4 linked regions of the Rhinolophus ferrumequinum genome follow. The main gene of each other region encodes a partner of the protein of the gene in region 4 in a complex. Links are inferred from orthologs where the notes say so. Each region holds a gene or a part of one and is shown on either strand. Other genes may lie near its edges.

Evidence for each region.
Region 1: SNRPD1 (region 4) and PRPF3 share a complex: the UniProt entries of both Homo sapiens proteins name them as parts of the U4/U6-U5 tri-snRNP complex. The link is inferred for Rhinolophus ferrumequinum from reciprocal best matches to the Homo sapiens genes SNRPD1 and PRPF3.
Region 2: SNRPD1 (region 4) and SNRPD2 share a complex: the UniProt entries of both Homo sapiens proteins name them as parts of the SMN-Sm complex. The link is inferred for Rhinolophus ferrumequinum from reciprocal best matches to the Homo sapiens genes SNRPD1 and SNRPD2.
Region 3: SNRPD1 (region 4) and GEMIN2 share a complex: the UniProt entries of both Homo sapiens proteins name them as parts of the SMN-Sm complex. The link is inferred for Rhinolophus ferrumequinum from reciprocal best matches to the Homo sapiens genes SNRPD1 and GEMIN2.

What each region holds. Positions count from the first base shown.
Region 1 is NC_046305.1:50,663,172-50,670,401, reverse strand, and holds the start of PRPF3 (U4/U6 small nuclear ribonucleoprotein Prp3), read right to left. Parts: upstream 3,005-7,230; 5' UTR 2,872-3,004; intron 2,828-2,871; exon of another isoform or gene 2,748-2,827; intron 132-2,747; 5' UTR 87-131; coding exon 1-86. Other genes in the region: MRPS21 (28S ribosomal protein S21, mitochondrial), read right to left, coding at 5,121-5,301. UniProt on the Homo sapiens protein: Plays a role in pre-mRNA splicing as component of the U4/U6-U5 tri-snRNP complex that is involved in spliceosome assembly, and as component of the precatalytic spliceosome (spliceosome B complex).
Region 2 is NC_046298.1:41,996,816-42,004,561, forward strand, and holds the start of SNRPD2 (small nuclear ribonucleoprotein Sm D2), read right to left. Parts: upstream 3,008-7,746; 5' UTR 2,872-3,007; coding exon 2,870-2,871; intron 1,260-2,869; coding exon 1,080-1,259; intron 1-1,079. Other genes in the region: QPCTL (glutaminyl-peptide cyclotransferase-like protein), read left to right, coding at 3,702-3,911, 4,403-4,546, 5,261-5,542, 7,246-7,398, 7,500-7,599. UniProt on the Homo sapiens protein: Plays a role in pre-mRNA splicing as a core component of the spliceosomal U1, U2, U4 and U5 small nuclear ribonucleoproteins (snRNPs), the building blocks of the spliceosome.
Region 3 is NC_046289.1:86,468,020-86,475,161, forward strand, and holds the start of GEMIN2 (gem-associated protein 2), read left to right. Parts: upstream 1-4,137; 5' UTR 4,138-4,229; coding exon 4,230-4,366; intron 4,367-4,765; coding exon 4,766-4,871; intron 4,872-6,268; coding exon 6,269-6,358; intron 6,359-6,639; coding exon 6,640-6,699; intron 6,700-7,142. UniProt on the Homo sapiens protein: The SMN complex catalyzes the assembly of small nuclear ribonucleoproteins (snRNPs), the building blocks of the spliceosome, and thereby plays an important role in the splicing of cellular pre-mRNAs.
Region 4 is NC_046302.1:17,462,081-17,469,532, forward strand, and holds the start of SNRPD1 (small nuclear ribonucleoprotein Sm D1), read left to right. Parts: upstream 1-4,451; 5' UTR 4,452-4,595; coding exon 4,596-4,609; intron 4,610-7,452. UniProt on the Homo sapiens protein: Plays a role in pre-mRNA splicing as a core component of the spliceosomal U1, U2, U4 and U5 small nuclear ribonucleoproteins (snRNPs), the building blocks of the spliceosome.

The sequences.
Region 1 (7,230 bases), on a different chromosome or scaffold from region 4:
GTGGGCTCTGAGAAACCCAGCACCCTTTTCACTGTCTTCTCTATCCATGGTTTCAGCTCATCCAGCTCCCTCTTAGATAGTGCCATTCTTCAGGAAAAGGAAGGTAAGTCAAATGGGATTTAGTACTGCACCTAAAAAGAAACCAGGAAAGAATTAAGTTAGAGGACAGGAAAAGACTAAAGTGATTCCAGTCAATGCTTATTACATTACAAATGTCTTCCCCACCTCTATTCTCAATCTTTAGTCGAGCTGCTCCTCTTCATTTCAAGTCAAATACTTTCCCTAAAACCTATACTTCAAAGCAGAAATACATTCCATTTGATTCCCCCCTCTTCTTCTCCCTTGTCCCCGCCACACTCCGATTCAAGCCGTTGTTTCTCAGTCTAGTTGTGTAGGACACAGCTCCCTGGCCCATGCTGCTGTTATGAGCCTTGCGCTCCCCCCGGCTGAGGCAGTCAGTCGCCAGTTGTCAGTTGGCCGCTCACAGCAGCTCACAGCAGCTCTTGCCAGCTGCTGGCCTCTCATGATGTCTTCCAGCCACTCACGCTGACCACCGGCCGCTCATGACAGCACATGGTAGCCCACGGCAGCTCGCGCTGGCTGCCGGTCACTAGCGCTGGCCACTCATGGCAGCACATGGTAGCCCGCGACAGCATACAGCAGCCCACAGTAGCACATGGCAGCTTGTATTGGCTGCCGGCTGCTAATGGCGGCACACAGTAGCCCGTGGCAGCACACAGAAGCCCACGGCAGCTCATGCCAACCTCCAGCAGCTCACAGCAGCCCAGCTCCAGCCCAGCTCCAGGGAAAGCTGTTGTTCACAATCTTAGCTGTAGAGGGTGAAGCTTGCTGGCCCATGTGGGAATCGAACCGGCAAACCCGGCGTTAAGAGCACAGCGCTCCAACCACCTGAGCCACTGGGCCGGCCTCCCCCATTAGATTTCTAAGCCTGACTCACTATCAGTGAGTCAATGAAACTTGTGGAATAAACAGATAAAACCCGGGAATGGCCTAGTCTGAGCAATGAGTTCTGGCTCCTTTTTTGATCCTGTTGTATCAACAGGACTGGCAAACATATGAGTATAATATGGAAACAAGACTGAAAAAGCCCAGCCAGAGGCAGCTTTTCTATTCTTAATTCTAGGCAGGCATTCCTTAACTCAGCCGTAACCTACAGGTTTCCTTACTTTTAAGGGATGCAGATAGAGGAAGGCTTATTCAGGTCAGTCATCCTGTATCAAAGCTCGTATCCTTAAGAATGTTCTATTTCTCTGTAGTCATATGCAAGCTAGTGGGGATTCTGTACCCAGACAATTTTCTCTCATGTTCTACAGGGTCTTTGTCAGTTGACTTGGGTAAGGTAATCCCCCAGCTCAGAAAAGAATACCCCCATTTTGGATGTTCTGCCTTTTCACCTTTATTTTTCTACTTTTTACACTATCATACAAGATTCTATAACAAATCCTTAATTTGTCATTTAACACAAGTTAGTACAATTCTTAAACAATAGTCACATTTACATTTTGATCTCCTACCTAAATTTCAAAACCCATGAGCATAGAGAAAATTGTATTTCCCCTATTTTCACCATAGTGCCTAAAAGTCAATAAACCGCACTGAATTCAATTTCCCAGATAACCTCCTCCCAGCAGGGCCACATATCAGGGTCTGATGTAGGAGTCAAGCTCTCAGGCCGTTTTTAAGGCATCTTTTCTCCTAAAAGACACGGTCTGATTAACTTCTACATTCTTGGCAGGGACGTCCCTTATAAGACCTGTTGCTAAACGGTGTTATTAAATTTGGGTATAACCGTATGAAACTAGTAGATTGAAGTCATGAAATTAGGAGTGATAGATTTCCTGCCTCAGTGACACATTATGTGAATACTTCTAGGTGGTTCTATTCACCCATCATGAGACAGCAGTATAACCTCTCAATCTCCTATATATTAAATGTGCATTGCTTAAAAGCAGCATATTCAGATACCACAGTCAATAAAGAGCTCACACTGAAGAGTTGCAACACGGAGCTTTACCATTTACCAGCGTTTGGGCAAGTAATTCCTCTGAGCCTCAGTTTACTCATCTTGGTACTTAATTCATTCAACGAATATTTATTGAGTAACTACTAAGTGTCAAGCAGCATAGTGGGTGCTGAGAATACGTACACCAGTGAACAAAACAGACAAGAATCTTCGTCTTAACGGGGCTTATGTTCCACTAGAATTGAATCACAGGCTAGAAAGTGTAAGCAATTTGAAAATCCAAAGCGATACACGAGGAACCGGTCTATTAGATTAAATGTGTGCCCAACACTAAACTAACAAATGTATTCAAGTGCAACCCAATCCTTCCTAAGAGAATGTGCAAACTAAACAGCCCGTGGGCCAAAATGAAAGTTTCCAACAGTAACTAGCTTTGTCACTAATCAAATGTTGGACAGTAACTGCGTGGGGCGGGTGTGTGTTATGGCGTGGGGAGGCAGGCAGAAGGATCTCTGAATGGGGAGGGTGCAGACTCCAATCTTCTGAAGGATTTCCGTGCTCTTCTTTGCAACACCCCGACTGACCCACCCCCACCCCACCCCCAAACCTCCATTCTTCTCTCTCTGCTCTCCCCGGCCGGCCCTGAGCCCACCTTGTTCTCCCCAAACTCCTCGTCTCAGAGCTAGTCTCCGCACCCCGTCCCCTTCCCGCCCCCGCCCTTTTCCTCTCAACAATCTCATTCCAACCCCTTCTCCCGCAGAACCTTGTTCTCCTCTCAGCTGCCTTCCCGCTGAACCTTCCAGCCTCGGTCCCCCTCTTGGACTGAGCCCCGGCCCCAGGCGCTCCGACCCGAGGCCACCCTCTTTGGGCCCGGGGCCACTACTCACCTCACAAACTTCAGCCCCTGAGACGGAGCCCGAACGTTACACCGGAACCGGAAACCCTCCGACCGCCCTACGGCCTGCCGTCGTTACCGCCACTGCCGCCGCCACGCCACGGTCCTCCACACGTGACGGGGAGGGCCGGGCCACCGACGCGCGCAGCCGTAGTAGCCACTTTCCTGGCGGCGGGGCGCATGCGTGGCGGAGCCCTAAAGTTGCCCCGTGCAAGCTCCCCACGGCTTCCTTTTCCCCAGCTAAATCTCCTAACTGGATTACTGCAAGGTTAATGTTGCCTGAAACAGAAATCGGGCTGCTTGCAATATTCCTAGTGTGGCGAGTCAGTGCGCTGAAGTTACGCTAGAACTAAAAGCGGGGCTTATGAGTTCAGGCTAAACGTGGCCTTTCGTGTGTTATAAAGTCAATCCTCAGTAAGAGTCGAGATCACATTAGCCACGTCTCCCTAACCTTTCTCCTTCAGTAAATTAACAGTGGTGCCAGAGACCGACGCAGAAAATAGACGTGTATGGGAGGACTCTGAAGATAGCAACTCTCCCCCACCCTCCTCTTGTCTCATTCGTTAATTGAATATTTATTGACTGCCTACTAGTATGCACCAGGCATCCTCTTCTGAGAATCAATACTGCTTCATGGTTAAGAGCAGGGGCTTGAAAGCCGGATTGCTTAGATCTGTATTCCAGTTCTCCCACCCATTATTTATACATTAGGCAAATTGCTTAAGCCCTGTTACCTCACCTATAAAAAAAATCCACCTCAGAGGGCTGCTGTGAGGACCACAAGTGACCGAAGGTAAATGCGTTTAAAACAGCTGCTTCTGAGTTCAATAAAGCTACCTGATAGGTAACAATATATACACCACAAGGGGGCAATGTTTGAACACTAGCAATTTGGAGAGGTAGGGGGCCAGGCTGTCTGCTCAGTTTACTTCCTTTTTAAACATTATGCTGAGGGCTGCAGCCTGGGTGAGGAGAGGTGGGCTAGCTGCTTCCGCCTACCCTCTTCCGTTCTCCTCTGGGGGTTGGCATCAACACTCCTTATATCAGCAGCATGGCTTTCAGGGGACCAAGGCCAGAGGAAGCACACAGCAGGAAAGGAAGCAGAGCAGCTGGTTCCTCCCACAGTCAGATGCCCCCAGCTGTCAAGAATCACAGACCCAGGAGTGCCTGTTGAGAGGTAGGGTTGGCGCTGGGGACCTCAGCCTGGAATCTCTTTTAAGTACTATTATAGGGCAGTGATCCTCAGACTTCAGCAAGCATCAGAATCACTTGCAGGGTTTGTGAAAATAGATTACTGGGCTCCAACCCCAATTTCCAATTCACATAGTCTAAAATAGGGGCCCAGAATTTGCATTTCAAACAATTTCTCAGGTGATCTTCATACTGCAGATCTGAAGAGCACACTTTGACCTAAGAGCACAATCTCAGAACTGCTGCTCTAGGTATTTCAGGCTCTGTGTCCTCCGGTCTCTTAACACTCTATTTCCTCTTTTCTACCATCCATCTACCGCTTTATTTCTTCTCCACCATCCCTCCATTAGCCTCCTTTAGGAAAAACAGAAAACAGGAGTGAATGTTAGATTTGTCTTAAGGATTCCTTTGGACAAGGATTCCAGCACTCTAGTCTGGTTGATGGGAGTTTCTGAAGAATTTATTCCAGATATACACATGCTTCCTCTCCTTTTATTTAACAGTTGAGGGCAGTGCAAGTAAAGAGTAACATGCTTTCCCAATGATAAGATCTTGCTTTGTGTTTCATAGAAATTGGGTAAGAAATGGTAGATATATTCTACAACATTTTAGAAAATGTCCTCAGCTTTCCTAGACTATTTAAAAACAATCATAGTAAAATATACATAAAACTTACCATTTTAATCATTTAAAGTGTACAATTCAGTGGCATTAAGTACATTCACATTGTTATGCAACTATCACCACCACCCATCTCCAGAACTTTTCCATCTTGCCAAACTCATGCTGTACCCATTAAATAGTAATTCCTCATTCCCCTCCACCCCCACTCAGCTCGTGGCAATCACCATTCTACTCCAAGACTATTTTTTGGCACAGTTTCTCTTTCACTTAATAACTGACTAGTGGGACTGCTTCTATATATGCAGGCCTTCTTATATATCCGTGATTGAGCTTATTGCAAGAAAGATAAAATGGGGTTGGAGAAAGAAAAGAGGTGGAGACACCATTGGACAGGGGTTTTCATACTGGGCCCACTACCCACAGGCCTCAGCAGCCCTGCCATGGATCCGCCCGATTCTTTCGCATCAGAAAGTTGATCTTGCGAGTCATTTCCATGTTGTAGATGCGCCGGCAGGTTTCATAGCTTTCCCTCTGTCGCCGGCGGCAAGGCTTCTCGTAGTACCGTCGTCGCTTGATGTCCTCAATGAGCCCATCCATGCTGAGGATTCTGTACAAAGAACGGCAATGAAGTTAGAAGGTGGGGCTCATTATTATTCTTTTCCAATTTCACAGATGGCCAGAAGTCAACTGACCAAACACTTGGGGTCTGTAAAAATTATGGTGTGAAATGGTGGCAATATAGTATTAACTGTCTCCTTATGGAGGCCCCATATAGGAATCTGTGGGGAATAAAAAAGCAATCATCTACATAGTCCTTGCTCTTGGGGAGTTTACACTCAGGATCATGTTCTCAACCTTTGTTCTACCACAGCACACCTGAGGGATATGACAGTCTCATAAGAACAGTGGTTCCCTATGGCAGTGATTCTCAAGCAACGGGTCATTTCAGAATTTTCACATGGGGTGACTCTTAACAGTAGCAAAAAAAAAAAAAAAAAAGTCACTAGGAGTGATTCTGATATGGTCCTTAGTAGAGAATATAGTTCCATCCCTATTGTGTTTAAAAACTGATACAGCTGAAGTCGGCAGATCTGAGAAATCTCTGGGCCTACTTAGTACAGGAAAGAAGAGGCCCTTATCACACCGGTGACACAAATGGGGACGTTAAGATAACAGCCTCACCCACAATTTTTCCATGTGCCACCTGCTCCACCACACTACTTGGCTGACTACTCCCTGAACACACTCTAACACGTCTGCTCACGCTGCTTCCTCAGCCTGGAATGCCACCTTCAACCACTGGCTGCCAACCTTCTGACTGAAATTTTCCTCATCTTTTTGATGCCAAACCCCAATGCCACCTCTCCACAAAGCTTTCTCATCTTCTTTAGAGAAAATATTTTATTAAACACCTATTTAGCAATTATTTCATTCTGCCATTCCATTAGCTAGTTTTACAAACATCTCCCTCATTAGACGGAAAATCCTCGAAGGCAGAGACCATGTTTTATTAACCTTTAAATGTCCATAAAACTGAGTTCAATGTGTTTTTTTCCTGCCCACCCAATTTCTTGCAATGCAGCTTCTCTTGTTGGATTTATAACACACCGAACTCAAACTCCCCTTTTTGTTTTGAGTGAGCCAAGAAGACAAGGGGCTTATTCTCCAATCTACCTAATAACTCATAGGCTCCTGAGAGCTCTGGCTCCAACCTGCAATTTGTCTCTCCCTCTCCACCCACCATCACTTGATCCTGAGGAGGTTTGGAGGCACCTGCCGCTACTGTCCTCCATTCCTGGCATTGTTTACATGGCCCCATTCCTGCTTACCCTGTCCTTTCATTACATGTAAAAAGTAAGTCACAAACACAATTGGAGACAAGGAGATTGAGCCACGGCTATTGTAATTGGAAGAAGGGGGACACAGGAAGAAGGAAATAATAAGAGACATCACCAGCTACTTCTGCCCAGCGGGAAATCTTATTTATTGCTGCTATGTATGTTACATCACAAAGCCCAAGATAACAACAGATTGAACATTAACTTGAAAAGATTTCAGCTTTGGGTAAATTACAAATGTGAATAGACATGGGAACCACTGTACCTATGGGATCCTCTCCCAGCCTCCTGCTGTTTAATATCGAGAATGATTTGTAGGCTACTAGAGAAATCATATGTGTATAGATCAGTTTGTCTAGGTTTTTGTGGCAGGGAGATGGGAGGCAAGGGACTGGCTGCCGACTCCCGGAAGCAGGAGAGGTCGCTCATTCAGGTTCTGTTGAAAACAGTCATGCCCAGAAGTCATGTGGATTCAACACTAGAGTCTTACAATAGAGAAGTAGGGCACCAAAGATGAAAAGACTGAGTCTCTTGGCCCACACAGGGTCTCCTTTGCTGACTTTCTTCCTCGATTTACCCTTCCATGTTGGTATTCCTCCAGATTCTGACTGTAAACCTCCGTTTCTGGTTCGACATGATTTCCTTAACCCTTACCAGTGAGCCTCAACCCTGATGCACAATGGAACCATCTCCTAAAT
Region 2 (7,746 bases), on a different chromosome or scaffold from region 4:
CCACGTCTAGGGCAGGAACTAAACACAGTGGGATGATGGGAACTCAGCCCAGACCATAAACTTTGGAGGTGACAGAGCCTGTGTTCAAATCCAGATCTATCTGCCTCCTTGTGCTTCCTGTTGTTCTTCTCCTTTTACTCAAAAGGAAACTGAGGCTCAGAGGGAAAGACTTGTCCATGGTCACATAATAGCTAGTGGCCAGAACATTCCAGAATCAAGCCTCAGCACACTACAGTGAAGAAAGCGCTTCCCAGATGCTAACCACGCAGCTTCTATGTTTACTGAGCATTTGTCATGTATTAGGTACAGAGCCCTTTGCTCTTCATCATACACAGTATCATTCAGTCCTTACAACTGTTCTCTGAGGGGTATTATAAGGAAACGGAAGCCCGGACAGAAAAACTCCTAGTCGCTCCCTCTGGCTGAAACACTTAGACCCTTGCTTACGCCTTTCTCTTATTCAGGTCTGTTCACTGCTGCCTCTTCCCAGGAGGCTGCTCTGATTACCCATCAAAGACAGTACCCCCTGCCCCGTACTCCATACCCTTACCTGGCTTCACTTTTCTTCATATGAGTTCTCATCTTTTGTCTTTTTGACACATTATTTGCTGTCGGCTTCCCTATCTATACCATAAGCTCCCTGAGTACAGAAACCATGTGTATTTTAGTCATTGCGGTCTTTCCAGAGCCTAAAACAGTACCTGGCATGGGTGCACACTCGTATTATGTAATAACTAGGTAACAGCATACTGTGTGCCAGATGCTGTACTTCTAGTGACTGACTACACTTCCCATGTATTAAGCCACTGAATCTTTGCAAACACCACGATTACTGCCACTGGATGGACGAGACAGTCACTTGCCGAAGGTCATGTGGCTGCTAAGAACAGAGTTGGGACACAAACCCAGGAGGACTGGCTCGTAAGTATATGCCCATAACCACTGTACTGCACAGCTGGAGGGGCAGCGGGTTTTAAGACGTTCACTCCCCTGGCTTCTGAGAAACCTGGTCTTTAGGCGCCTCGGACGGGAGCTGGGACCGCTTCTCCAGCCTGAACAGAACAGACCCAGGCACTCACCTGTCAAAGGCCTTCACACGGCCCAGGAGCTTCTTGTTGTTGCGACAGTTGATGAGCACCTGGGTGTTGTTCTTGACCGACTGCGTGAGCACGGAGAGTGGGCCCGTGTTAAACTCCTCCTCCTCCCGCTTCTGCAGCTCCTCCGGGGTCATCTCACTCTTGGGCTTGTTGAGGAGGCTCCTGAGTGGGCAAGTATGGAACCCATAGGTGAGAGGGCCTGGCGCTGGAGCATGGTCACGGTCATGGCACTCAGTGTCTCTCCAACCTTTCCCCAACACACCCACCCTCCTGCTCCGTCCTCGCGGGCATACCCATTTGGATGGTGATTTCCAATCTTGCACGTTCTAGGTTGTGATCCACAACACCCACCCACCTCAACTTACTCTATCCACAGCCTCCCTCATTTCCATCAATGGCAACTCGATCTTTCCAGTTCTTTGAGCAAAAACTTTGATGTTAACTTGACTCTTTTTTGTCTTGCACATCCTACAACCTGACAGCAAATCCTGCCATCTGCCTCTCAAATATATCCAGAATCTGACCATTTCTTACCACGACCTGAATCTCCATCATCTTTCTCCTAGTGTCTTACTGATCTCCCTGCCTGCACCCCACACATGCTCCCCAACAGTGTGTTCTCCACAGATCAGTCCTGGGGTTTTGCCAAGATCTAAGTCACATCATCTTACTCTTCAAAATCATCCTGTGGCTCCCTTCTCAGTGTAAAAAAGTAAAATCCGGGCGGCCGGTTGGCTCAGTTGGTTAGAACACAGTGCTCTAACCAGGGTCACCGGTTCGATTCCCATATGGGCGACTGAGCTGCGCCCTGCACAACTAGACTGAAAATGACTTGACTTGGAGCTAATGGGTCCTGGAAAAACACAGTTTCCCAATAAAAATTTTTTTAAAAAAAGTAAAATCCAAAGTTTTTACCATACCCTACGTCTCTCAATCTCAGTTCCAGTCACAGGGGCCTTCTAGGTGGCCCTTTAAGGTATTAGGCAAACTTTTATCTTGGGCCTCTGCACTGGCTTTTCCCTCTGCCTGGATGCCTCCCCAGTTATCTTTGTGGTTCGAGCTCTCACTTTCTTTACTCCAGTATTGCCTTCTCAATGTGTCCTTCTGTGATAGTTATCAGTTACTGTCTCTCAAAATCGGCACTCCCCATTGTTTTTACCCTGCGCTACTGTTTGTTTATTCATAGCCCCGGTCACCTAACACACCATATACTTTACCTGTTTATTATCATGACCTTAATTATCTACCTCTTCCCACCCCATAAGCTGCAGGTGGGGACTTTTCTTGGAGAGGGATATTCACTGATATATCTCATATATCTAAAGCAGTGCCTGATACATGAGCACTTAATAAATCATGACTTAATGGATAAAGTAAAATCATTCCTGTGACTCGTTATCCGTAAAGTTGCGAATTAGGTCGAAAGGCCAACCGTCTCCAGCTCAAATGATCCGGATAGTCCCTCACCTCTAATCGTTGTTCCTTAAAGTCCGCACTCCCCTCTCGCAAGTTCTTTTTCGTAAAATCGTTCCCCCTTAAAATTACTTGGAAAGCCCCCAGCCCATTATCTGATAAAGCTGTTCCCTCTCCCGAACCGATCTTGGGTCAAAGGCCCCACGCCCGTTCTCAAACTCAACACAAGAAAAGTACGCCACTTTACCCCTAAAAATCTCTGCCTCAGCCCTCCGTCCTCCCCACCCCCTTCCACCGGTCAGTGACCAAATTTGCACCTTCCACCCTACGCCCGCCGCTTAAGCCTCGCCCGGCCTCACATGGTGGTAGCGTCTGCTCTTTCGGATCACTCTGGTTTCCTCCGCGCTTCCTCTGCTTCCGAAGAGAAAACGCGAGAGAGGCGGGACTTCCGCTTCCTGTGGCCCACTTCCGTAGGCGCCTGCGCAAACCCAACTAGCTGTGGGGGCGTGGCCTGTTATTGCCATAGCAACCCCCGCCAGCCTTGCGCAGCGCTAAGGTAAAAGCCTTGCTTAGTGGTTCAAGGCCATTCAGGACTATACAGGACAGATGTTCACAACAATGGAGAGAAAAAGAGAGACGGAGGGCCCGACTCAAATCATTTTGTTGTGGAACAGCACAGGTTGCGAGAAAGGACACGCCATTTCCAAATGCCCGCCGGCCCTCCCTTCGGGGGCGCGGTCTCCGAGAAGCCAATCCCTCTCTTCACTTCAGGGATAGACTCCGCCTATTTCCTGCAGAGACGGTTCATTTACGCGTCTATTGATCTTTCCGACTCCACAAAACCAATCATTTGCCTACATCCGGGAGGGGCGTGGACCTGGGTCCGTTAGGTCGAATGTTTTCCATTGTCAAACGCTTCTCATAGGCTTCCCCTCCAACGCTGAGGCGGAGCCTACTCCTTCTTGCTCCCTTTTGGGTTGTGCAACCCTCAGTGGAACCAACGCCAAAAGCCCCAGGGAGACAGTAAGGCGGGCCCTCAGAACGAAAGTCCCCATTGGCTTCGCTGCTTGAGGAAGGGTGGAATGGTGCAGCCGCTCTTGTTATTCATTGGTCCGGTGATTCTATGGGGTGGGACTTGGCTGGGCCTAAATTCGATCCGCGGTCGGGGACCGGTTTCAGGGCGAAGCTGCCATGCGTCCCGGGGGCCGCGGGCGGTCCCGGCTACGGCTCGGGGAACGCGGCCTCTTGGAGCCATCCTTACCGCCCAGTCGCCGCCTGCTACCGCGGGTGCAGCTGTTGCCCCTGCTGCTGCTGGCTCTGGCCGTGGCCTCCGCGTTCTACACCATCTGGAGCGGCTGGCACCGCCGAACTGAAGAGCTGCCGACGGGCCGGGAGCTGCGGGTAAGGCCTGGCGGGGGCGCGGCCACCGCGGGGGAGCTCATTACCCGTCTCCCCTTTCCTAACGTCTCAGGTTGACGTGGCTTTATCGTGTAGCCCTAGCCGCAGGTGCCGCGGTTTCGGTCATTAAGACGCATGCCCCTTGTCAATAGAATGAGGCTTCAGACTTTGTTCTGTAATAGTGGCTCCCCATTAAGAGGAAGGGTCTGGAGTAGTAAAACTGGGAGTTCTGGGTTCTAATCCTAAGTCAACTATTTGGAAGAGTCCCTTCCTTTCGCTGCGCCTCGATTTCCCCTCGATTTTTTCAGGATTGGGGTGGGCTGGACCAGATGGGCTCGGAGGGACTTTTCCTGCGTGTAGGATTTATCCTAGAAACCTCCGATGCTGGAGGCTGCGATTCCCGGCTTCTTAAGGGCGACGGCGTCCGGGGTAGCGTCGGAATGGGGTTTGTTCTCACGCTCTGCTCTTCTCTTCCCAATTCCCCGCCCCCCAAGGGCCCGTTGATCGGAAGCCTCCCCGAAGCCCGAATGCGGAGGGTGGTGGGGCAACTTGACCCACAGCGTCTCTGGAACACTTATCTGCGCCCGCTGCTGGTTGTGCGGACCCCGGGCAGCCCAGGCAATCTCCAAGTCAGAAAGGTAAAGGGCCACACCTGGTTCCGCAGACCGCTGGGAAATGGGCTTTCCGCACAAGATCCCAAAGCACTAAGTTTTGAGTGGAGCGAATCTGACTCTAGAACCACTAGGCTGTACTGCCCTCACTGAAAGCTTACTATGTGCTAAGCACAAGTAACAGTTTTATGAGGTGGGTACCTATGTGATATTCATTATGCAGATTGGGAAACTGAGGCCCAGAGCAGTTGGGCATTTTGCCCAAGTCCCACAGCTAGTAAATGTTGTACCTAGGGTTTCAACCCAGACAGGTTGGCTCCGGAGCTGGTGCTGAAACATCCCTTATATTACCTCCCAGACAGCATCAAGAGTCATTTTAATAGTGCTTGAGTTCAAAACCCACTTCAGCCACTTGCAGTGTGACCTTGGAGTAGTTTCTTAAGCTCTCTGTCAGTTTCCTCATTGGTAAACTGAGCCATTGACGGTCCCTATCCCATAGGGTTCCTAGAACAGGGCTTGGTACACTGAAGAGTGAGCTGTGATTAGTCTTGGCCTCAAGAAGCAGGGTCGCTCCACACCTGGCACTTGGTAGGTACTCAGCAGAAGTGTCAAAGGAATGATTTAAACCAAAGTGGGACTTGTGAATCAGCCAGACTGCTCTGCATGGCTCAGGTCACGTGGCCCTTCTCCCGACCTCCTCCCCAGTTCCCACCCACCCTCCCACCTCTCTCTTGCCACTAGTTCCTGGAGGCCACTTTGCGGGCCCTGACGGCAGGCTGGCATGTGGAACTGGACCCCTTCACGGCCTCAACGCCCCTGGGGCCACTGGACTTTGCCAACGTGGTGGCCACACTGGACCCAGGAGCTGCCCGTCATCTCACCCTTGCCTGCCATTATGACTCAAAGCTCTTTCCATCTGGGTCAGCCCCCTTTGTGGGGGCCACGGATTCAGCTGTGCCTTGCGCCCTGCTACTGGAGCTGGCCCAGGCCCTCGACCAGGAGCTGAGCAAGGCCAAAGATCAGGTGAGAGCAGGGATAGGGGGGGATGGAGGGCAGGGGCTGCCATGACCTTGGTTGAAGCCACCACTCTCCCTTGCCTGGTCGTGTCTTCTTGCCTCCATTCTATACACAAAGCCACAGGATCTTTCCACCTCCTGAATGTCAGATCATGTCCCTCTTCTGCCGTAAACCCTCCCATGGCTCCTACCTCATGCATGGACCCATGATGTGTGTCCTGTTACCTCTCTAGTCCACTCTAGCCACCCACCACCTCCGTATACCTCAAACCCACAAGATACACTCCCACCTCAGGGCATTTGCACTTGCTGTTTGCCTAGAATGTGCTTTCCTCAGATATCTTCCTAGCTGGCTCCCATCCTTCATTCAGGTGTCCACTCCAGCGTCACCTCAAAGAGGCCTTCCCAACCACCCTAAAATAGCTCCCTGTCACTATCCCATGATTTATGGTGTTTTATGTTGATGTATCTGTGTCTCCCCAGCTAGAATAAGTTCCATCTAGGCCGAGACTTGGCTGCTTTTGTTTCCTTCTCTATTCCCTGAGTCCAGAATATTGCCTGCCTTAAAGTATAATGTCAATAAAAATGTATGGAGTGAATGAATGAAAACACAAGTCTCCTCACGCGCCTTCCCTGCTCAGGCCCTTTCTTCCATGGTTTAAACCCCAGTGTCCCAAAGCCCAAGCTCCCTGACCCTTGCTGACTCCTCAGGCCTCTTCTCAAACCTCTCTGGCCCCAGCTCTGGTCCACACTCCATCCTTGCCTGGGAACACTCTTCCCTCTGCTCCCTTTTGCCAGGCCAGCTGCCACTCATCCTCAGTGCAAACATCCCTTTCTAAGAGACCAGACGTTCTCCCCAGGCCAGGTTATCCCCCACCCCCTTCCTGTGTTCTTTCAGGACCCTATAGTTATTGCAAGCATTTGTCCCAACTGCATTTCACTATTTGTATAATTATTCGTTTGTGGATCTCTTTTTCTAAACAAGCTTGAAGAATAACCAATAATCAGAGCTTCACCCTTATTTAGTATATGCCAGGCAGTTTTGGGACTTGGATTCAAATCCTACCCTATGAATAGAACTGTTACTAACCCCACTTCTTCCCCCCCCTTCTTCCGCTTTTTTCCCCCTTCTTCTGCCTCCCCTTGCCCATTCCGGTTCAAGCGTTCTCAGTCTAGTAGTTGTGTAGGACACAGCTCCGTGGCCCATGCTGGTATTATGAGCTTTGTGCTCCCCTTGCTGAGGCAGTCAATCGCCAGCCAGTTGTCGGTCGGCCGCTCACAGCAGCTCATGGCAGCTATTGCTGGCTGCCGGCCACTCACGCTGGCCACCGGCTGCTCACAGCAGCCCAGCTCAAGGGAGAGTTGTTCACAATCTTAGCTGTAGAGGGCGCAGCTCACTGGCCCATGTGGGAATCAACCAGCAACGTAGCTCCAACCACCTGAGCCACCGGCTGGCCCACTAACCCCATTTCTACATGAGGAAACTGATACTTCAAGAAGTTAGTGACTTACCTGTGACTGCTCGGCCAGGAAGTGGCTGAGCCAGGATTTAAACCCAGGCAGCTGGCTCAGAGTCTGTACTCTAGGCCACCACGCTCTGTGAATGAGGAGACTTAGTTTGTCCCATTCAGCTGTGCAGGCGGGCAGGAAATGGAGGTGGGTCGTGTCGAGGGCTGGCACTGAGCTGGCCCTGACCACCGGCTTCCACAGGCGGCCCCGGTGACCCTGCAGCTGCTCTTCTTGGATGGTGAAGAGGCGCTGAAGGAGTGGGGACCCAAGGACTCTCTCTATGGCTCCCGGCACCTGGCCCAGCTCATGGAGTCTGCACCCCACAGTCCCGGTCCCACCAGGATCCAGGCTATTGTAAGACAAGGGTCCCTCTGGGTTCTGGCAAGGGAGGGAGGGGGTAAGGCAAGGTTGGCAGCATCCCACCTGGCCTCTCCAGTCCTGGCCTCTCTCTCTAGGAGCTCTTTATACTTCTTGATCTCCTGGGAGCCCCCCATCCGACCTTCTACAGTCACTTCCCGCGCACAGCCCGCTGGTTCCATCGGCTAAGGAGCATTGGTAAGGGTGATGGTAGAGGCAGGCTCCAGCTTGGGATGCCGGCAGGACATGATGGGGCAGCCACCTGTCCGCTAAGGGGTTATCCAGCCTTCCCTCTCCCTTCATAGCCTCTCTCTAAGGCACTAAAACAAAGGCCAAAACACAGAA
Region 3 (7,142 bases), on a different chromosome or scaffold from region 4:
AGACCGCCATGCACTGGCTGGATGCACCAAGTCTGGTGTGGGGAGGGCAGTTTTCCCCTGTGAAGCCTGCCAGGTAAAGCCTTTGTAATTGCATAAAGTCAGGCCTGAAAAATCACACATAAGTTTTTAACCAGGAGCTTACTGCTCAGAATTATCCCCATTTCCTGACAGCAAAGCTCCACTGTCCCCAAATCACCAAACAAAGCCCAAATCCTATAATAAATATGTTAGTTCTAACACCCTCTTACTGAGACATCTTCCAGTTTCAGTAATCATGTGACTAAGGAGTGTTCTGGTGGAAAGAGGATGCTCCATAAGTATTAACTATATACATACAGCTCCATTTCTCAGAACCCTGTCCAGCACCATCCATCCCCTACTTTCTATGCATCAACCATACTGACCTTTTTCCAATTTTTCCAACAGAACCTACTTCCTCCAGCAATTAAGGCCTTGAACAAACTCTCCTCTACCTGCTGAGACTGAATATACAAATGGGCAATGGTCAGACCATAAGTGGAAAACTAGAACTCCGACCCACAGTCTGCAGCAACCATCCCAGGAAATCAAACCAGTGTTCTACAGTAACTAGCCTGGGAAACCAGCCTGCAATAAGTCAAACTTACAGGAAGTCAGAGTGGTATCTCCAGCAACAATCCAAGAAGCCAAACAATAACCCCTGTAATAATTGTCCCAAAATAGTCAGGATTTGATTAATAATTGACAGATTTCCTAATTTTTTTCCCTGTTTCCAATTTAGGACCAACCAAAGAAAACCAAATACACACCCTTAACCAATTTCATAGGGTGTCCCACTTCTAAGTAGAATAGGGGTTCAGAGCATGCCACCCCAAAATATGCCACTTTGACATATTATTTTAAGTTAAAGGTACTTGGAAAACAGCAGATGCAAGATGGGTGCTTGGACCTTCCTTTTTCTTCCTGAAAGCAGGAGATAATACTCCCATGTGAAAGGTACACCTCCCTATACCAGAAGGAAGGAAAACATTCTTACCATTAGAAATGGAGATTCAAGGCCAAGATAAAGCTATACAAACAAATCTTATTCAACTAACCCTTATCTTCTTAGTTACTTTTCCAGAATTATAATAACTTCCCTAGCACAACCCCCTTTGTCATGTTACATGTTCACAATTTACTATTCTTTGTCCAACCTAGTATGTAAGCTTTGGGCCCTAACTTCTTTGGGCCTGGATTTTTCTTGTGAAGGCTCCCATGTACATGTTAAAATTACTGAATAGAATTTGTGTGCTTTTCTAATGTTAATCTGTCTTATATCAGTTTAATTCTTATGCCCCGCCAGAAGCCCTAAGAGGATAGAGGAAAAGTATTTTTACCTCCCCTATAGTAGCCCACCTCCAACTTCCCCAAGCCAAGAGCCTCCAACCAGCGCATACACAGTCTTCCCCTTTTTCCAGTATAAAGCTTTCCTACTCCTCTTCCTGACTTTGAGTCTTTGCCAAAATTCAAGTAGCAGTGGCTGACTCCCTTTCTATAGCAAGCTCTGAATAAATAGCCTTTGCTTGTTCTTATTCCTTAGTCTTCATTTATTTCCCTACCACAAGACTCCTCCATACCCCATCCCCTCAAGATTTTCCTTAATAGTTCTTATCACAGTTAACATTTAAAATTCATTTGTATCATTGTTTAACATCTCTCTGTCCACTAGACTGTAAGCACTAGGAGAGAAGAAGATCATTGTAATTCCCAATGCCTACCATAGTGCCTGGCACATAAGAGAAAACTGATAAATATTAATTGGATGACTGAATTAAATTTTCATGGTATAAAAAGGCAAGTGAAATTTTAGACTGTGGCCAAAGTAAAAAGAACTGAGAAAGTACGCTTAGAAGAAATTCTAGTGCGGTAGATATTGAATAGGAAGGGAAAGAATAAAATGGATGGCCTAAGCTGTGTCTCTCACTTGGAATGCTTCTTAAAATGTCAATTTCAGAGCCCCACATCCAATCAACAGAATCAGACCTCTCTGGAGGAGAGAGTTATAGAACCCAGGAGTCTGTATTGTAAATAATTTCTTCCAGATAATTCTTATATACACTAAAATTTGAGAATAACTGGGTTGCTTAAGGGGATATAAAACACAGCGACAAATTTGCACTTACCTGTGTAAGGATGACTTAACAGATGCCACCATCATCAATAAACAGTGTTGATTGTTCTCATAACCCTCATATAACTCCTACAACCAACCACCAATGTAAGAAATACTGAAATACAAAAAAATCTTTCCGTTGTAAACTGAGAAGTAACTGGAAATCTTTGAAAACGGCACCAGAAATAGTTCAGAATCTTAGGAATGGTTCTTCTTAGGGAGAGCTTAGATGAAATAGTTATTATTTTAAAAGTTCAGCTTTCCAAAAATTAAGCATTTTTTTCAGAATAACTTCATCAACCAAATATAGCTACTCCTCCGCTGTCCCATATCTTACTGAAACTATCAAAAATATTTAATTCAATTTCCAACTTATAACCATATTAAAATTTGTTCCAAAACTCGTTATTCATTCTTTTAAGTCAGATTAGTTTTGAAGTAACAAAAAGCAAAGCTTATAAATTTTTAATTTACTTTCCTCTCTCCTGAATGAATTCATGCCTGTGTATTTAAAATTTTAGAATCATTTCAGAATCATTCATTTATTACTTACGTCTTTTGTAAAATAGTGTATTATTATTTCCCAGAACAACCTTTGTTCATTCTGCTATTCCTCTCTTTTCTTCCTTCATCCATGTGTAGTTCTGTCACGTACTTACCAGTCGTATATATGCAGCCCAGTGTTAAGCATTGTTCCACTGGTCGTTGGTCTACTTGGTAATTACCTGTTCTTTATTTCCAGAAAAATGGGTGAGGGGAAGTGAATTGCTAATAAGTTAGCTTCCCCAAAAAAAAATATTTATAAGAAAACCCAGAAATAAAGTCGCTGCTCATTTTTTCTTATTTTGTTCTTGATTATTACCAAAAAGTTTGGGGATGGGAGTATTTCTCCATAATCCTTCCCTCTAAGTCTGTTTCTTCCAAAATCAGTAACATTTTTAACCAAATAACTTCTACTTTGACTGCTGTGAGGCAATGTCTTTCCATGTCTCCCAATTGCTTAGTAACCATTCATACACACTAAGTCTTTCGTTTTTAACATAAGGACTAGCCTCACTATTTATCTTCAATTAAGTAAGTTACATTCTGGTTTCTAAATCAATTGCTAAAGGCAGTGCTTTAAAAAGAAAAAAAAAGCAACGCCTTAGTCATAAATATAAACGTTAGAAATAAGTCAATTGTATTCACTCAGAGCTTGTTTAGAAAGATTGAGATAGAATATTTTCATTATTTCTTGCAATTTATGACCCAGTTAAAGTTAAACTAGTTCTGCTTTAAACAAAGCAGAACGTGTAAAATGGAGACAATAGTGTAAAATGGAGACAATAGTATTCGCCTCACAAGATTGGCCCTAAGATTAATAATGGTGATTTCTGGGTATTGGCATTAGCTTTATCCTTTGCACTACTTATATTTCAGCAAAGAGATCTTTCTGAGGGGGTAAAAAAAGCGATGGCTACTCTAGGAGTGATATTCATTTCAGACAAATATAAAGTGATCTTTGAAATAGCCAAGCACAAGAAATTCCTCTGGAAAATCGGTTTTTCGTTTACTCGGCGTCAGAAAAATCTGGGTTGGAACTGGCTCTTCCCCTTTGGGAAAAAGTCACGGTTGTAGTACTTAACCACTCTTTCGGTCGATTTTTCTCCCTTACGAAACCGGTATGATACCTACTTCAAGAGGTTGTAAAACTTAAGTGAGGAAATGTGACCTGTCTGCCAGGGTTTAAGAATTGAGAGATCAATAAAAGATAATTACAGTAATGTTGCTCATTAATTAAAAAAAAAATTTAAGAATCCCTCGCTACTAGGGATACCTAAAGGCTAGTAAGCCCCAGTCTTTACCCTACCTAGCCTTGGAAGAGAGAACAGGACAAAAGAGGGAACACGCAGAAACATCTCAGAACCACTCCCGCAAGGAACTAAATTCGCAGTCTTCCTTACACCACCGGAGCCTTAACCTTGAGACAATGAGCAGGTTTGCTCATGCGCATTAACACTCCCTAAGCCTCGCCGCTTGCTCCACTCTGCGCCAAAGATGCCTACTTGTGCGCCTGCGCTGTGACCTAAACGTGGGACTGGCTGGATTGGAAACTATGGCGTGGGTACCAGCGGAGTCTGCAGTGGAAGAGTTGATGCCCCGGCTGTTGCCAGTGGATCCCTGCGACTTGACAGAAAGTTTCGATCCCTCCGTACCCCCGAGGACGCCTCAGGAATACTTGAAGCGGGTCCAGTGAGTGATTTGGCTTGTGCGGGTGGGCTGTTCGTCCTTCCTGCTCCAGAGCACAGCGCCCGGTGCTTTGCGGGACCCCTAGGTTTGCTAAAGCCCCGCCTCTGTTCCGGTCCCCAACCTCCTGCAAGTTCGGATCGGAGCAAGATCACTTGTTAGCATTTTTAGGTGGACGAGTTTCAGTGAACTTAATTATATTAAACTTGATTATACATGGCAAGATGTGTGCTCTTAGATTTCCTTGCTTTCAATATAATTTCAGAAATACATTAATTAGTACCTCAATTGCAATTCTGAACTTTTTGTCTGATATCATAATAAACTTTAGAAATGGATAGCTTGTTTAACTGCAGATGAGCAAAACTCAATAGTAATTACATTTCTTGCATTTATTATTTATAGGATCGAAGCAGCTCAATGTCCAGATGTCGTGGTTGCGCAAATTGACCCAAAGAAGTTGAAAAGGAAGCAAAGTGTGAATATTTCCGTGAGTTTTATTACCCGTCAGGTGACTTTTTTACCACTACAAATGAAAAAAACAAAGCTGTTCCTATAGTATCCAACAGTATCAATTACGATGTAGGTCAAATTTGACTGCCCCTACGAAGTTAGACATTTGTTTGTATTACTTTTTCCCCTTCAAGGACAGTTGACATTTACTGCCGCCAAAGAGGCTTTAAGTAACCCTGGCATTCATGGAGATTTGCTCTTCATACTTTCAGGACATGATCCAATCCTAAAGAAGTCTTTAAATAGGTTACTTATGCTGTCCTTTATTTTGAAGTAACCTTTTTCCAGTTGTCTTCATAATTATTGTTGGACTGTTTAATCTTAGTGCAGTTTGCATGGTCTAATTTTCATTATGTTTTGTTTTTTAAGACTTAGAAACCCAAATATCTTACACTTTTTTTAGCTACTTGCACACTGTAAACATTTTCATTCATTTATCCAGCACATTTTTTACTAAGCAAGTAGGTTGTGCCAGGCACTAGAAATATAACCAGGGATGATGAAACAGAAAAGGTCCCTACCCTTGTGGAGTTTACATTCTCCTGAGGAAGACAGGGTAAACCAGCAAACAAGTGAAATAATTACATATTGTGACTATTGATATGAAGAAAATTAACATATAATGATCAATAAATAACAAGAAGAATTACTTTTCTTTTTTTTCAGGTAGAACTACTTTAGATTGTCACAGAAGGTCTCTCCCAGGAGGCAGTATTTAATTTAAAGTCAAAGGAAAGCAGCAGTTTTAAATTGTGATTATTCCTTTTCGTTTTATGTTCTAAGTAATTCCCTTATCAGATGTTTATAATTAGGAAATTTTAATATTTCATATAATTCCTTTTTAGAAGTTTTTAGTTGGTGGGAGATGATGTCTTATATACCTGGCTTTAAAAAGTGACCTCACAAAGTTTTATTTCAAGGCAGTGTGTGATCAGTTGTGAACTGTATGCTGTTTTTGGAAAAAGAAGTAGACATTTTAAAGTCAGATATCTTAAATTATTTGAGTACATTCTGACTATACCAAAATTTTTTATCTGGGATATAGCTCTTTTTTTTTATAGCAAACTGTTTTTGCTGTTATAGAAAGGTAGGGCTAGATTGTGTCTTCAAGACTCATATCATTTAGATTTCTTAGAAACTGCAACTGTAAACCATTCCAGATTGCTGTTATTAAAGTGACTCTATAAGGATCTTTTCCTAACATTTTAAACTCACACAGAAATAGTAAAATGAAATTCCTGCTCTTTTGCATGAGCAAGAAGTACTTTATTTTTCTTGTACAGTCTTAATCATTTACTTTCTTGTTCACTGTTCATATTGATTTTACTTGGCAGGGGCATGAGACTCTAGTTATAACACTAACATTGATGGTAAAAATTATGAACTGATCTCTAGCTTTCAGGATGCCAACCTGCTCCTGAAGGATATTCCCCCACACTTCAGTGGCAACAGCAGCAAGTGGCACAGTTTTCAGTTGTTCGACAGGTAAGTGTACCTTAATCTTTTAATCAAATTAAACACTACCCCTCCCTCCCTCAGATTTATTTCTGTTCTTAGATTTTAGTTGGGAAAATGAGGTTCATGATTCTGAAGAATAAAGAAAAGAATATTTAAGAATCAATTACCAAATTATTATTATAATGACTAGATGTAATAGTTTGAAACATATCTTCCCAGTTGTAGAATTGTTAGAATGTTGTGCAGCACTTTATTTCTTTTCAGTTATCCATTCTCTGAAGATCACTGTCTACCTCTTCTTCCTTTAGAGTGTGAACAGACATAGAAATCACTGGAAATCACAGCAGTTGGATAGTAACGTGACCATGGTATGTAAGTTTCTCTGTTGAAGTTATACAGTGTATACCTATTTGAAATTGTCCATATTTACTTCCAGTCTTTAAAAATTACTTACCTAGTCCATATAATTTTCATTCCCTCCCATCTACCATTAATAGTAACAATTTCATTATATTAGTAGCCTGAAAAGTATAGAATCAGCAATGCAAGCTTTTATTTTTATGACACTTTTAATCCACAACATCTTCAGAGACTTTGGATGGGTAATTGTTAGGCCCCTACAAGTTTTTAAGTTTCTTCTAGACAGTTGTTTTTTAGGAAATAAACACATTTTCAGTATTTACAAAAAGATTGAATAAAGGCTCATTGGATTTTCCTGGTGAAAGAATGGTGCCAATACCAGTGACTTTTTACTGAAGCCTGTCATGCATACCGGAAAGTAGTATTTCCTACATTTTATCAGCTTAGATAT
Region 4 (7,452 bases):
GCTTCTGAGTAACCTATTCCACATTACTTGTTGTATTGGCCACAATCAGGAGCATAGGAATCCTTACAAATGTCAGACTATATGAAATCATGTGTAATTACACTAATTTTTGATACATAAGTAAATCATATTTGATGTACAAGTCATGTCTGCAAGTCTAGATTTTCTTTTCTAAAACTAAACATACTCAGTTTCTTAAATGTGCTGCGAAAGCATAAAATAGTTTGCGTTTACAATACTGTATTATAAACTTCAAAGTTGCTAAGAGACTTGCTCTTCCCACCACAAAAAAAATAATAATTGTATGAAGTGATACAGGTATTGTTTACCATGGTAATCGTATTGCAATACATAAATGTATCAAATCAACATGTTGTACACCTTAAAGTTATGCAATTTTATATGTCGGTTACAGCTCAATAAAAACAAATTTAAAAAAATATTTTGTTTTTGTGGGGAAAAGTAGCTTTCCCCAGTGTTATTCTTTATCATTTTAAAAGATATTTTCAATTCTGATTCATTAATGCCAGAGAGCTCAATCTGTAGTTTGATTAAATCTTAATTATTCTGTAATAGCATGTTTGACAAAATTTGTTTTGCCTTCTATCAATGGGGTTTTTTTTAGAGTTGTCTGTCAATAAACTTTACAATTTTGTTCATTTGACTTGGTTGTCTACTAAAAATAATCATGCTCCGCTGAATAAATTATTTTGCTTGACTGAGCGCTCAAAGATTATACAAGCTCACAGCGACCTGACCCCAGTAAAAAGAGAGGTCTCCATTCCTAAAAACTCCTGAGAAAGTCCTAGGGGAGAGCTCTGGTTGATACACCTTTTGCCATGTGCACAAGCTAAAAACAAATACTGTGTCCTAGATGATTCATCTTGGTGCTTAACATGGTTCTGTAAGTTGTGAAGCTCATTTCCACAATCCCTACACAAATTCTGTTGCTAAACTCCAAATTGTGACTGTAATCTCCTGGGCTTGCTTAAGTTATTTGTTTCCCTTCCTGACTCCAAACTGCAGAATGTTCTTTTCTGTACTTGCTTATCATTAGGACATCTACTTCTATTAACTAACAATGGAATAGTTGCATTGTCACACACGGTACACTCTCATTTCCTTGTTTTTCTTCCTTGTGACCAATCTAAATGCCTGTAACATATAAAACTTCTGCTAACTCCCAGAAGACAGGGTAGTCTAACTTGTAGACTGACTCTTCTGCTAGCAGCAAATAAAGGCTTTTTCTTTGTTGCTCCACTCTCGTTGACTTTATTTTAGGACTCTTGACAGTTTTATAAAATGAGACAGTAAAAATTCTAAAGACTTTTAAGGTAGAAAATAAAAACAAGGAAAAATTCAACAATTTGGTATAAATCAACTGATAATGACATTTCAATTTGCCATCCTTTGGTAAACCCACCACTAACACATACAAATAATAATGCTGTCCCCACATACTTGAGAGGGGATAAGTAAGTGTTAGCCAGATTGAAGAACTTAAAGTACAATAGTCTGGAGAGGAGAGTGAGCTTGAAGAGTTCCAGGAGCTCAAATATTCTAATACTATTGAGGAGAAAAGGGATTAAAGTAGGCAGAGCTCAAAGTAGGAAGAGACTTGAGGACACTAGGGAGGAGTACTTTGTGCTCAATACTAGGGATACTGCAGTGAACAATACACAAGGTCCCCTTCTTCACACAACATGCATTCTGATGGGGGAGACATTCACTTATTTTACAAATATTTCTTGAGGGCACATTGTGTGCAAGACACTATTCTAGATGCTGGGTATGCAGAAAGTGAACAGAACAGATGCAAATCCCTGCCTTCAGAGAGTTTCCATTCTCATGTCAGTCAATAAATAAGTAAACAAATAACAATTAAATACAAATAAGGAAATCAATGTGGTAATAAATAGAGCAGCACTGTCTAATCGAGCTTCCTTTGGTTATGGAATTGTTCTATATCTGCAGTGTCCAAAAAGGTAGCTATAGCCACATATGAGTATTGAGCACTTGAAATGTGGTTATTATCATTGAGGAAATGAATTTTTAATTTTGCTTAATTTTAATTTAAACAGCCTCACTTAATAATTGTTTTTAATCCAGGGGCTCATTAATATTATGATGAGTTTTGTTTTTTTAAAACTCTCTCTTAGAACTGCTGGTTCTTCTCTTGTTTCTAAGGAAGTTTCCAATAACTACCTCTCCATTCATGTCCAAAAGGAGCATAATACCACGAAGTCCTGATTAGATCAGCTTACATCCCAAGTCCACTGTGGACAAGTAATGGAATGTGATTATTGATCTAAAGGTAGAGTCAGCTTCCTTAGGAACATACAAATCACCAGATTACTAGAAACTGTTGGAAAAAGAAGGGGATAGATGTTGAAAAGGCAGCACATATTCATTACAGTCTTGCTACTCAAATTGTGGTTCATGGACTCAGGGCATCTTCACCAACTGAAGGCTTGTTAGTGTTAACAAAATTCGACAGAGTAAATCTGAAGATTTAATTGGCTTTATTAAGTGATTTATGAATTGAGCAGCATACCATCTAGCAACTAGAAGGGTATTCTGAGGGGTTGTACAAATTGGAAGCTTTTAGTAGGAAGCAGAAAAGGGCAAGAGGGCTATTACTGAAAGGAAAGAAGCCAGGACATCTTTTCAAGAAAGAGAAGGGGAAGGGTTTCCATCATGTAGATCTCCTCTTCTTTCCAACTGGTGCATAGAGAGGGCCTAGGTGTCAGATGCCCTTCCTGGTGCTTGATCAGAAAATTCCAAACTGGTTAATTAAGATTTTGGTTCTGGGAGAGATGGAAACTGCAATTTCAGGTACGAAATCTAGGTTTGGTATCAGAGGCTATTAGCACGAGTGACGCCTTTTTGGGCGTGTGGCTTTTTTTTCTTTAACATTAGAAATGCAGGAGTTCAGAGCCCACACCAACTAAATCAGAATTTTCATTCTGAAGTTTGCTCCAGGTGAGTCCTATGCACATTAAAGTTTGATGAGCATTGCCTTAATGAAGTCCAAGATTTCCGATGATCAGGGATGAAGTCCAGACTGATGATACAAATTAAAGCCATGGTTTTGGAGATCATCTAAGCTAAAGAAGAAAGTATCCAAAAGGAGAAAGCCCCTGAGTACCATAGTATGTAATGGCTCAGTAGAGGATGAGACAGCTAGAAAGAGGAGTAGCTAGTAGGATAGGAATAAAACCAGATGTATTTGCCATCCTGGAAGCAAGAGAGGAAAGAGAGTGTTTCAAAAGGGGAATGTTTGCGTTGAGTGCTGCTGAGATGTTTAAGATGAGGATAGAAGTTTATCTTGGAGGTTTCTGATGACTGTTAGAATAGCAATTTCAGTGTAGTTTGAAGAGTGAATTGGAGGTCATAAAAACAAGCATAGACAGCTCATTCAAGTTTTTCTGTAAAAGAAATCTGGCAGTAGCTGGAGCTGCATCAGAGGTGACCTTTTGCTTTGTTTTGTTTTTCAAATTTTTTTGTGGTGGGGAATATTGGGGAACAGTGTGTTTTTCCAGGACCCATTAGCTCCATGTCAAGTCGTTTTCGATCTAGTTGTGGGGGGCGCAGCTCAGCTCCAAGTCAAATCATTGTTTTCAATCTAGTTGTGGAGGGCACAGCTCACTGGCTCATGAGGGAACTGAATGGGCGACCTTGGTGTTATGAGCACTGCACTCTAACCATTGGGAAAAACGGCCGCCCCAGAGAGTTTTGTTTTTAAAGTAAATTTGTATGCTGATGAAAAAAAAAGTCCAGTAGAGACGGAGAAACTGATGATTCAAGTTAGAAGGGAATAACTGAAGGTATGAAATTTTTAAAAAAATGAGCGAGGGGATCCATACTACAGTGAAAAGGAATTTGCCTTTGAAAGAAGCAATACTTCTACTTTTGCGACAGGAATAAAGCAGAAGAATGGCTTCTGTTTCTCCAAGAAGTAGGAAACATTAGCAGAGAGTGATTTGGCAGAGGGACTATAAAAGTTTTGAGAGGAATAAAGAAAGTATGAAATAATTTGTGAGCTTATGAGAAGCAGAACACTATCTCTGGGCAATATAGGGTACCCTTTTGAGGTTTGCTACCAGAATTTAAAGTGAAAATAATTAGCTAAATTGTGTGATTTTCTCCATGTACATTAAGTAGTGCTGAGGTTCTTGGTTTTGGAGCAGAATTAGCATAATCTTTTGGGCTTCTCTCAGACCTTTCCTTCGCACACGGGTATATTTGGTGCTGCATAACACTAGATGCCGTGCCAAAGTGTCCACTAATTGAATTTAATATCCTCAAATCTCCCTCTAATAGGAAATTTCCTCCTAAACCAGACCTAAACGCCCTCAGCAGTCGCAAGGCACACCTCCAGCCGCTAGGGGCCGCAATGGCGCTCCTCGCGGGCGGAAGGGAGTGCGACCCTGCGCGGCCTCAGCGTTTCCGCCGCGCGTTCGCAGAGCTCTGCGCGCCCTTTACGTCGGAGATCCAGGAGTAGGCGTTTCCGGCCATTCATACTCCAGTCCGTGGGGCCTTGGTTGTTGGGGTTTGTGCACTCTTCGGACCGAGAGCGTGACGGCGCCGCTAGGATGAAGCTCGTGAGGTGAGGCGGTGACCAAGTGGAATGAGGGCTCTGACGGGACGGTTTGGGCCGGGAGCAGGAGACGGCTGCCCCAGTTGCAGGAAGCGCGAAAGCCACGTGCGCGCGCGGCCTGCTAACGGCCTCCGGCGCTCGCCGCTCCCGCCCTAGGTTGGCGGCGCCGGCGCGCGGGCCTGCTCTTCAGAAAGGGTCGTTCCGGGAACCTGTGTGTCTTCCAAGAGGTGGATGTAAAGGCCGAGCCGTTTCTTCCCATCCAATGTCTCAAGTGCCTTAAAGATGCAGGGGCAGGCGTACAAGGTCTTGCTTTCGGTTACCAACCGATTTTCATTTCCAGTAGAACTCGTGCTCTAGTTTAGGTTACTTTTCGGTCCCATCTTCAGTTCTCAGGAACCGGCAAATGTAACTAGGTCCACGGTCCCTGAGAACGTGGGAGACATAAAGAAAATTTATTTCCCTGTGTAAGTAGTTTAATGCGCTTTTAAAAAGAGTACTTAGAAGCTGCAAAGGTTTATCTGGAAAATAAACCCATTTCCGAAGTGTTTTAAATCAGGGATGGACTTCTGACTTAATGTTACTTTTTTAGAGTATTTTTGGATGTTCTCTAAATTTAGGATTATTCGACCTACATTTCCCTTTAAAGTAGGCCTTGCATTTGGGGGGGGGGGGAAATCTCCCAACTTGGGGCAGAATCACTTTCTGTATTTGTAGCTGATTGCACGGATGATCGATATGTCTTCCGTTTTATATCTTTCTGCATTTAATTTCTAGTATGTTTGAAATAACATAAATCCTTCAGGGTGGAGTTTGTAGAGAAAGCATTTAAAGTGAACTTTTTGTTCGTTTTAATTTGAACTGTAACTGGATAATAACGTCTCAAAATTTAAAGTATATTTTCACAATTTCTCAATATCTGGCAGTCTGAATTTAGTTAGTGTGCTACTCTTTGGGATCAGTTTCTCTCATTTAAAGATATTCTGTGCTGTGACAATTTTCCTGTTAATTTCAATGGCTGTATTGAATCCTTTTCTGTGTCTTAGAATAAACAAAATTTCTTCTTACTGGAGAAGGCATTTTGAACCAAGAAAATGGCTGTTTGTCTAACCGGATGGCATTTTCAGTTGACTTTTTTATTTCTGTACCTAAGTTGGTGGAACTGTCATCCTAATCAAAAACCTGGGAGTTGTCTTGACTTCTTCCTCTCTTGATAATCCTGATGTCTGATAAATTGCCAGGTTTGAACATTTTTATCTACTTAATGGAAGTATCTCTCACTATCCAATTCTCTTTGATTTTTAAATTTAAATAGTGTGAATTTGGATGCTGAATGATACCATGTTTGAATATTTGAATAATATCTGAATATCTAAGTTTCAGTAAGTAAAAAGAATTCAGATAGTGCAGGATTCATCAGAAAATGATTCCAATCTACTTGGTTTCTAGGCTCACATTATTGTGTCTGTTTCTCCTGCTCATGATACCCTCCCTGCCATTCCAGTTGCCACCACTGAGCTGTTTAAGCTCCCTTTTTTCACCCATGTTTTTTATTAACCTCTTGAGTTAAATATCTCTTACAATGATATTTAGTGTACAGTTCCCAATTTTGAAAAATTTATATACCTGTGTGATCCAAACCCTATCAAGATATGGAACATTACCTTCCCCCACCCCCCCCCCCCATTTTCTTTTGGGTAATTATTTAGGAGTGGAGTTGCTGGATCATAGCACAGGTATACATTTAGTTTCATAAGAAACTGCCAAATCATTTTCCAAAGTGGTTGTAGCATTTTACACTCCCTCAAATGAATGGTATATTAGATATATTAGAGTTACACTTGCTCCACACCCTCATCAGCATTTGTTGTCAGTTTAAGTTTAGCCATTGCAGTGCTTGTATAGTAGTCTTCTTTTGACTTTAATTTGCATTCTCCTAATGACTAGTGATGTTGAATACCTTTTCACCTGCTTATTGGCCATTTGTATATCTTTGTGAAGAGTTTAATTATGGTTGTATTTTTCTTTTTATTTTAGTTGTAGGAATTCTTTATGTATTATGCATACTAGTCTTTTGTCAGATAGAATTTCTCCTCGTTTGTGGTGTGCTTTTTCATTTCCTTAATGTCTTTGGTGAGCATACGTTTATTTTGAAGAAGTCTTAATTTACCAGCTTTTTCTTTTATAGTTATTGCTCTCTGTGCACTGTCAAAGAAACTTGTGCCTACCCTCAAACGATGAAGTTATTCTCCAATGTTTTCCTCTAAAAGCTTTATAATTTTACTTTGATTTTTAGATTTATGATCTGTCTTCAATTAATTTTGGTAAGTGGTGTGAGTTAGGGGGTCCAGGTTCATTTTTTTCTAGATGGATTTCCAGTCATTCCGTATTATCGTGGAACATAAATCCCTATTATGGATTTCATTTGTTGGAAAGGCTTTCCTTTGCCCCATCAGACTGCTTTGGCAGTCCCATGAGCACCTTTGTAGAAAATTGACTGTATAAATGTGAGTCTATTTCTATTTCTAGGTTCTATTCGGTTTCATTGATCCGTTTGTTGTTCCTATGTCTTGATTACTGTAACTTTAACCTCTATAGTGCTGTAGCCATCTGATTTGTCTTCCAATGTAAATGTGATCCTGGCAATCTTTATTGCTGAAAACCCTTCAGTAACTCTCCTAGAGGAAATTTTTAACAGAGCTTAGGCTTTCCATGAAAGGAATCTGCCTAACTCTTCATTTTCTTAGACTTAATATTCCATCGGTTGTACCTATAATTTTTCTGTACATTGTGCTGTTTCTTAACTACCGTATCTTTGCTCTTCACTCTTTGCTGCATATTTCCAACTTTTCAGG